2 linked regions of the Schizosaccharomyces pombe genome follow. The protein of the gene in region 1 interacts with the protein of each later gene in a biochemical or structural test. Each region holds a gene or a part of one and is shown on either strand. Other genes may lie near its edges.

The links.
Region 2: the proteins of spt20 (region 1) and spn2 form a complex in vitro, tested with the Schizosaccharomyces pombe proteins (one study listed by BioGRID).

Annotation. Positions count from the first base shown.
Region 1 is NC_003424.3:5,368,771-5,374,030, forward strand, and holds spt20 (SAGA complex subunit Spt20), read right to left. Parts: upstream 3,075-5,260; 5' UTR 3,001-3,074; coding exon 2,853-3,000; exon of another isoform or gene 2,771-2,852; coding exon 1,784-2,770; exon of another isoform or gene 1,697-1,783; coding exon 1,410-1,696; 3' UTR 1,204-1,409; intron 1,013-1,203; 3' UTR 958-1,012; intron 917-957; exon of another isoform or gene 870-916; intron 790-869; 3' UTR 630-789; downstream 1-629. Other genes in the region: translation initiation factor eIF2B gamma subunit tif223, read left to right, coding at 1-73, 145-516; DSC E3 ubiquitin ligase complex subunit Dsc4, read left to right, coding at 3,431-3,531, 3,586-3,628, 3,733-4,434; protein new13, read right to left, coding at 4,421-4,561, 4,642-4,866.
Region 2 is NC_003424.3:988,088-992,393, forward strand, and holds spn2 (mitotic and meiotic (sporulation) septin Spn2), read left to right. Parts: upstream 1-2,117; 5' UTR 2,118-2,162; coding exon 2,163-2,202; exon of another isoform or gene 2,203-2,251; coding exon 2,252-2,326; exon of another isoform or gene 2,327-2,384; coding exon 2,385-2,513; exon of another isoform or gene 2,514-2,624; coding exon 2,625-2,706; exon of another isoform or gene 2,707-2,768; coding exon 2,769-3,438; 3' UTR 3,439-3,664; downstream 3,665-4,306. Other genes in the region: tif308 (translation initiation factor eIF3h (p40)), read left to right, coding at 310-335, 375-481, 661-1,601; DNA-binding transcription factor Moc3, read right to left, coding at 3,665-4,306. UniProt on the Schizosaccharomyces pombe protein: Plays a role in the cell cycle. Involved in a late stage of septum formation leading to the separation of the daughter cells. Involved in the correct orientation of forespore membrane extension during sporulation. Binds phosphatidylinositol 4-phosphate.

The sequences.
Region 1 (5,260 bases):
TTTAATTGCCAAAGATGGGATTATTTGTTCTAGGGCTAATAATTTACCTAACTATTTCGAACTTAATAAATGCGTATGTTTTCGAAAGCTGAGCTTCATCTCGCTTTTTAGCAGTTTCATCCAATATCTCTAACAGCAAACTAGATCGCCAAACTTACTCCAGAACAACGCCTTGTAGATGTCACCGTGTCCGAAAGAGCACTGGTCGGTGCCGATTGTATGGTGAATGAAGGTACCACCATTAAGGATAACAGCAACATTAAAAAGAGCATTATCGGTAAAAATTGTGTAATTGGAAAAGGGGTAGTGGTCAGCAACTCTATTTTGATGGACAACATTGTTGTTGAAGACGGAGTACGTTTAGAATCTTGCATAGTCGCCTCAGGTGCTCAAATAGGCGCTAAGTCAAAACTTCGTGAATGCGAAATTGGCGTTGATCATCGCGTTGAAGCTGGCCGTATCGCTCGGGGTGAGCGGCTGGTTGATATGGAAAAAATTGAGACGGACATGGACTAATACTGTGTATCAAACCGTTGTCAGCCAACCTTTTTTTTGAAATAGATATAATAAAAATTTCGTGCACTTACTCTACAAAGTGTGTCTAAACTAATCAAGGTAAAGGTGATATTAGTCAGGAATTTTTAGATTAAAAATATATACTCATAGATCAATATTAGCTAAAAGCGAAGGGGAATAAATTACAGATGAAAACGCATGTACATATATATGCAAAAAAGTTATACATATATACAAGGTTATACACATATACATCTAAAAAAGTTCATATCGCTATGGGTTAGTAATAACTCGAAAATATTTAAAACAAATAAAATAACCAAAAACTTTAGCACTCAGCGATCTTGGTGATAATAAAAGAATCATTTATTGATCATAAGCAAATATTTCATCAATTGCAAAGCAGAACGGTTATTTGTTTTGAAAATTAAATTGCCTTACCTAACGTTCATAAAAAACAGGACGTTCTTTAACTCCATTATTATAATATTTAAAACTTAAAACAGTTAGCAAGGTATTCGTATTAACAAAAGCAGTTGATGTAATGGAAATCAATCAGAAGATTATTTGTCGCATACTGATGGAGCCCATATGGGAATCAGGCAAGATCCCGAGCAATACCATCGCTCAATCGCAAATTATAGTCATCATACAAAAATATCCAAATAACATATTAATTTTACTTACCTAAAACTGGGTGTTATTAGAAACAGCTACATTACATATCTCACACTGGTAAGTGAAAACGCCAAGTTGTTCCATGAGCAAAAAAGTTTTTATAGAGGAAAATGAAGTGAAGTAAAAAAACGTATTTATGCAACAAAAAAAATAAAATTTTAAAAATAATAAATAAAAAACTAAATTCGTGTATTAAATGATGAAGCATTTGAGAGTTACCTTTCAGCCTTCATTTGCTGCTGTTGTTGCTGCTGTCTCATTTGGAGTTGTTGAAAATGAAGATTTCGTGCAACCGTCATTACTGTTGCCAAATCAGTACCAGCGGCTATTGCTTGACGATTCAGAATTTCAGTAATTTGTTCCCGTGTAGCACCTCTAGCTTTTAATTGAGAGGCACGCTGTTGAAACAAAATTGCAAGTTGTCGTATTTTTATCAAATCCACGGATTCTCGTTTTAACATAGGTTCATTTGCAGGTACAGGACCCGAAGGTAAAAAGTTTCCTAAAGCTGTTAGAAAAATAAATACAAAATTAAAATAAAATTGAATTGAACTCAAAAAGTACTGAAATAAGCCTTTAATACACTTACCAGTCGCATTGGGGGGCGATTCAGAAGATGCCGCATTAGCTGGGAATTTCTGCATAGGTTTCGGAGGGGGAATTTGAATACTACTAGGTGGTAGACGTTGGATTTTGGGTGTAGTTTTTCTTTGAACTGGAGCAGACTGAACCAAATGTGCGGGTGGTTGCTGAGCTTTCGGTGATTGCTGCTGCTGCGCTTTTTGTTGCTGTTGCATTTGCATTTGCCTTTGTTGTAGAATAGCTCGTTTACGCCGCACATTCTCAATAAATTGTAGTCTTTGAAAGGTAGGTTGAAAATCGCGTTTTCTTTGGTCATCCATTAGTAACAAAAGGTTCTCTTTTTCAAGTCTTTCTGCTTCTTCATCAGCAAGTTGGGCTGATCCTTGAGGTTTCTTTCTGGTGCATGGTGGTGCAGAGTCGGCCAACTGGTTCATAAATTGAATCATTTCCGCTTTAGACTTCGCAGGAGTTAAGAAAAGTGGAGCTTCTGACGCTAGTAGAATGTTGGATTCCAAAGTCAAAACAGCTTCATCCGAAAGTGAGTTAGCAAAGCTTTCTGAAAGTAAACATAAATCTTGCCAAAGTGTTTCGGGAGTAGGACGAAGAACTGTATGATACACTGGAGGTGAATTAGTATTGGGTTTGGTATCTTCAGGTTGATTATTAATTGGGTTGGTGTTATTTTGCTGCTGTTGATTAGTAGAGCCAGGCTGAGGTTGCACAGTCTGATCAGCAGAAGGACTTTGCCGATGATCTATTATACGAACCGTTAAGCAACCATCATAGAATTTTACATCGGAATTCCGAAATACTTCAAGACAATCAGGTGGTATAAGCTCCATCCTTATATATTGCAAAATTGATTTTACCGGCCCATTATAGGTGAAGGCGCCATCTTGTTGCTCAAACCGAAAATGAAATTTATGAATATGAAGAATTAAACTCGGCTCTTCTTTCGAAAATTTATGTTCAATATCATGCAATTTTCTGGGAACTTGAGTATTATGTCAGTTAGAGTCGATAAAATCAAATACGCAAAAAAACCAAAGAAGCAAAACTTCCTCAACACTACTTACCATTAAAATTCGAAACGTTTTCATAAATTTTTGATAAAAATGCATCATCTGAGGATTCAATTCCTTGTTTATTCTGAAAATCGTCCAAACTCAATTCCTTCCCATGATAGCGATACGTATAGTCGCCCAAACCATTATTTCTTTCCATCTCTTAGTTCAACGAACTATACCAGTAATTGTAAAACAATATTCCCCCTATGTTTACAATTAAAATTATAAGCTGGTTAAATTCTTCAAATCCTACTAGGTTAGATAGATAGAAGCGTTTGCTCACATAACGAAATGTAATGATGCGTTATTAATGGTATCGAAGTTCAAGATTTCGTTAATAGTTTTGCAGTTTACGCGCTTCAAAGCCCTAATCCAAAATAGCCTCTAGCTTGAGCAGTTCTGGCATTATCGTTTTCCTCCACCGCAGCAAGTTCTTGTTGGCATGATTCATTCTGCGTTTACTTTTGACTCAAATTAATATCTAAATATTTGAAATTGACAAAGTTTTCATTGATTTTGTTTAAAGCTGTAATTTCTGATACTCTCAAAAGTATTCTTGTTTTGTGTTACTTTTCTACAAATTAGGCATGGACACTATTGTCTTAGATCAGCGGGGAGAAGTGTTCAGCTTTTTTCGATCGCTAGATATGCTGTGTTATGCAATTATAGCTCAACAATATTTTCAAGAGTAAGCAAAATTTCTGGATTCTATAGTAGAAATCACTAATCTAATTCTTGTCAGCCCTACAGTTCTCTTGCTGTTACTCAAGGTTTTTGTTCAATTGGTAAGTTGTTCCAGTATTTAGTTTATTTTTCATTATACAAAAGCCAGAGATGCTATGTTCATGATTTTGCTTTTTTCTAGTCATGTATTAACATAAATTGCTAGAGCTACCTTACCCCCAAACCTTTCTCTCAGTTAAACGCTCTACCGCTTTTTTATCCGCTTCTGCTTAATTTTCTAATATCTTTAATGGTGCGTATGTTCTTTAATTTGCCTACTGCAGGAGAAAGCTTGGATGGATATTTGTATGGTGGCTCTATTATCAATTTCATTGGAGAAAAAAATGAATCTTCACGTATAGATTTTATAACGTCCGATCTTGTACTTTTCTGTCTACAAATATTCATGGCGCTTATTCTAATTGCTTCAAACAAACGCCCAACTCAAGCATCTCATATTCAAGCTTCCCAGTCGGGCCTTTCCAATGTTGACGGAGACGAGGAACCATCTGATCTCATAACAGAGGATTCCCGTGATACACAGCAAGGGCAAAGGCAAGAAGACTTGCAACGGCAATTAGAGAATGAACGATCAAGGTTGATTGCTCGATTTTCTCATTCATTATACTCCTTTCAACACGGATTATCGTTTGGTTCTCCACAAAACAGAAACACTCCCCTCCAGAGGCAATCAGCAGATTCTTATTCTACCCCTGTTTGCATTGAGGTTGACTCGGAGGATTGGAAAGACTTGGTATGGAAGTCTCAGTATGCTACTGAAAATGCGAATACAAATTCTATTAACAATTCGCCTTTATCTTCCAACACCACAGGTGTACCGAACTCTGTTTTAACTAATCCCATTTGATTTGTTCCCTTTCTTGTTGTCGTTGTGTTGAAATGTCTTGAAGATGCTCTTTCATTGGCTTTGCTCGCTCTTTTTCCAATTGCCTACCGAGTTTTCCATTTCCCTTTTTCTTCTCAATATTGCGCTTCTAAAAAAAATAGTTAGTTACTTCAATGATTCTCAATAATGTAAAATCTGGGTTTCATTTATTTTTGTCAGATTCATTACCTCAGCTGCAACTCGGGCTGCTTCTGTGGGGGATAAATGCTCTTTATTTGATGTATTACCGGTTTCCGCTAGTTTTCTGCCCGTACGCGGAGGTGAGCTAGCTTTCGTAATGGCTTTTGCTGGTTTTTGAACGTTCACTGCAGGCTTTGGTTTTACAGTTGGTTTTTCATTCACCACTTTTTTTTCCTTTGACTTGGAACTACATATTGATAGTACTTGTCCCATAATTGATTATTTGGCTTTGGCTGATGACTTTGCATGTCACTCACTTCATTTTACGTACGGAAATTCTCGGTAAACAATTTTAAAGAATTCTATGCCGAATTTTAGCAAAGCTTTTTGATTACATTGTTTGTACATGATTAGTTAATGAATAGCCATTTCTTATTTAAACCATTTTTCACATAGTGCTGTTGGTACTGTGTACTTTGTTGGAACCGGATTTAAAACCATTGTTGTACTCATCAATTGTATAATCAGTAAATGCATTCAAGTTCCTACAAAACATTTTATTTATATTTAAACAAAAAAATATCTAATTGTTTTCTTCAAACTACTATGCTAAAACTTTACAAATGAGATGTGTCAAATTACAAACTATTTATAAATAAAATTCGCA
Region 2 (4,306 bases), 4.4 Mb from region 1:
GGCGGTGAAGCTGCTCTTAAATTACAATAAGCATGAAAATCATATTTCGGTAAATTAGTAAAAGAAGTCATGAAAATAGAGCTTAAGGCCGAGAAAACAAAAAAAAAATTTACAAATTTTTTAACTAGTTAGAAAAGGTTTAATAAAACTGGTAGGCTCCTCTATTCTATAACTTGTAATCGCCGACAGCCATGGCTTTAAAAAGTTGCTACTTGTTGTTACTTGTCATTAAACTGGTGAACACTAACTCCTTTAGAAGTTCGTACAGCAATTTGCACTTCAACCAACTACTTGGCAGACTTAAAAAACATGTCTGATACAACTTCATTGAATGTGTAAGAATGACTAAGATATATAAATAACTAATTCAGTAGTCCAGAATTGGAGTCTCCCCCTATTGAGCGGGTGGAATTAGAATCTTTACTTGTAATGAATATCATCAAGCACTGCCGTGATTCTTTTCCTAATATGGGAACAATTGGTAAGTGTAGTCATTGGAGAATAAGTTTTCCCTATTTTTCGAAATGATAAAACTTGCAATTTTTCTGCATCAAAGATGCAGCTATGCATTTGTCAGCTCAGTAATGCTCTACTTAGTGAAATTTCTTATCAACCACAGTTTCTCTCTTGAAATAATATTTTTAACTAACTTTCGTTCAGGTCAGCTTGTTGGTATTGACATTGATGGTGTTTTACAAGTCAGTAGCAGCTTCGAGTCTCCGTCTGTTCTTGAAAATGAAGAGTCTGCTGTTAACAAGTCTGTTTCCGGTAAAGCACGCCAAGCTCATACTGAGGCGATGCTTAATCGTCTTCAGTACATTGGTGCTGTTACTGGTCACGTTGGTTGGTATTTGGGAGCCTATGTTAGTTCATTCTTAAGTAGCCCCTTTTTTGTAGAAACGCAATATGCTTATCAAAAGGCAAACCCCAACAGTATCGCTTTTCTTTATGATTTGTCTCAATCTTCTAATGGAACTTTGTACATGCGTGCTTATCAGTTAACTCCAGAGTTTATGGCTGCCCATGAGGAAAAAACTTGGACCGCCTCCTCCCTCAATAGCCACAACTTGACTCCTTCCAATGTTATCCGTGAACTTCCTATTGTTATTCACAACTCTCATTTGGCTACCTGTTTGCTCCACTCTCTTAGTGAGCCTCCTACTCCAGCTTCTACCCTAACCGCCGAAGCTGCTCTTGAAGATTGTGAAAGCAACTTACCCTTGACTGAAACGTTCAGTAACTTTGAGGTTAGTTTGGGTACCAGATATAGAAAGAATATTGAGTTATTATTGGAGTCTACTGATGAGTTTCATTATGAGCAAGGAAATCTTGGATTTCATCAACGTCAACTCGCAAGAGAGCAAGCTAAAATTCAACAGTGGATTGCTAAGCGTAAGGCCGAAAATGCAAATCGTGCTGCCGAAAATTTACAACCTTTACCTTTAGACGATTGGAAGCGAATCTTCAAGCTCCCTGCGGAGCCTCGACTTCTTGACTCTCTATTGATTAGCTCTCAAATTATGAAGTCTACTCAAATAGATGAACAAAGTTCTGCTTTCTTGTCTAAGCTTGCCGGTGTACGAAACGCTTATGCTTCTTAAGCTACTGATTGGTAATAATCGCTTAAATTTAGCGCTAATTATTTGTGAATCTGGTTGAAAATTTTTAAGGACTTTGATCTCTGTGAAGCGGTTGCATGTATTTGTTTATAAAAAATGGAGCATTCTTCTTCACTCTCACTAGTTATACCTCGTAGCATTAAAATAAAAGGATCTACTTAATTATAAAAGTTGTTTTGGTTTTCTTGATACAGCATATTGGTTTGTTGAAATACAATGTGCAAAAATATACCATGATTGTAATTATAAGAAACAGTTTAATCTTCAATAGTGCATTCAGTTGCTGGTAATCTACTTGTTTATCGTATTCGAGTTTTAGGTTACATTGCTAATTTAATATATTTTCGGGCCCTTATACAACATCGAAACACTTTTCTATTAATAAAATATATTGTTAAATTTTGTTTTCTCTCTGTTAGATTATTTAAAAAAAAAATCGTAAATATTGCCGAGACCTTTTTGTTTGTTTTGACTTGCTTCACGTTACAATGTTGACTTGGCCAAAACCAACAAATTCCAAATTCATTCAATTCGCAACTTGCAATGGAAGTTCCTTCTGCAGTTACCCTAAATAATTATGTGGGTATGAAAACAAAAGAATGTTGATAAAGAGTCAAAACTAATGTTTATAGGGTTCGATTCTATCACTTCGCAAATTAACCGCAAGTTAATTCGTCGTGGTTTTCAATTTAATGTAATGGTGGTTGGTACGTATTATTTTTATTACAGATTTTCAATTATAATGATGTTAACAGTTTCAAATAGGACCGTCAGGTAGCGGAAAAAGCACTTTGATTAATACTTTATTCTCTGCGCACTTGATGGACAGTAAGGGTCGTCTGGATTACCAAGCTCCTTATCGCCAGACAACTGAAATCCATGTTACAAGCCAAGGTATGTTGATTTTTTTATAGTTAGGTTTTCATCTTTGATTGAACTCATTGAGCTGGCTTCAATGAGTCAGCAATCCTTATATTTATTATGGTTACATTGCTAACCACATAGTCGTTCGCGAGAACCGTGTTCAATTACAATTAAATTTAATCGACACTCCTGGATATGGAGATCAAATTAATAACGATAAATGGTAAGTTTGATCAGTGGAAATGGAAATTTCTATTCCTGCACAGCAATTTCTAACTATAATAGCTGGGAGCCTATAATTAAGTACATTAGGGACCAACACTCTTCCTATCTTCGTCGTGAATTAAATTCACATCGCGAGAAACGTCTACAAGACACAAGAGTACATTGTTGTTTATTCTTTATTCGCCCAACTGGACATTCTTTGCGCCCTATTGATATTGCTGTCCTCAAACGCTTAACAGAAGTCGTAAATGTTGTGCCTGTTATCGCTAAGTCTGATTCATTGACTCTTGAAGAAAGAGCAGCATTTAAGCAGCAAATCCGTGAAGAATTTGTTAAACACGACATCAATTTGTATCCTTATGATTCTGATGACGCCGATGAGGAGGAAATTAATCTAAATGCTGCCGTCCGAAATCTTATTCCTTTTGCCGTGGTCGGTTCCGAAAAAGCCATTATCGTAGATGGAAGGCCTATTCGTGGTCGTCAAAACAGATGGGGGGTTGTCAATGTGGATGATGAAAACCACTGCGAGTTTGTTTTTCTTCGTAACTTTTTGATGCGAACTCATCTTCAAGATTTAATTGAAACGACCTCATACTATCATTACGAGAAATTCCGCTTTAAGCAATTGAGCAGCTTAAAAGAACAGTCTTCCCTCGCAACTAGAATGGGAAGTCCCGCACCTGTGTACCCTTCTGAACCACATCTCCATACAGCCACCGCTCAATAGTCTTCTTCCTAAGGTAATATATAGTATGTTTAGAACAAAGACTAAACCATTTGTATGACTGTCGTACCGTAATTCGTAAATTTCGGCTCTTTTTACACTATGCGAATCTTACAAATGAAGTGTTTATCTTATTAACGAGAGATTATATGTTTGATGCGTGATTTTGTCTAGCTATTATACAGTTCTATATCAATATTTATTGAAAAGCATCAAAATGATTTTAAAATTAAAGTACTGGTCGATTTAAGACATTGCAATCCATAAAATGTTCTAGCATCAATCTTCCGAAATGAGATTCGATTTGTGCCCGAAGTTTAAATTCTTTAGAGTTTGATGCAAAAACATTTTGTAGAGATAATACGCATAAATAGGAAGTGCGTAATACTGCAATATCTGTGCATTCTTCTTGCATTAATTGCTGTAAGCCAGAAAGAACGTCATTATTGTTTTTGGTAACGGCATGTCCTACACAATCTATAACTTTAGTAAGAGGACTTCTTGATGCTGAATACAAGTGCACATGATATTCATCTCGCCAAGCAACCATTCGTTCTCGATGCAAATCATCAGACAAGGTTGGTTGAGAGAGAATGTCCAATCCAATAGTAAACAAAGAATCCGAAACAGGTGCATGACTTCGAGAAACAGAAACTTCCGATAAAGGCTTTCCATTAAACCCCCAGATACACCCACGAGGAAGAATTGCAAAAACTAGTTCACGAACGACCATAGCAATCAATAAGCTGACATAATTTGATTTGGTAGACGAAGACCAACTTAACTTTCTAATAAAATTATTACAAAAATTGAGATCATAGGCTGGGAGATTGAGCTGAGTGAGAGTCAAAAATGCAGAAACCAACAGGTA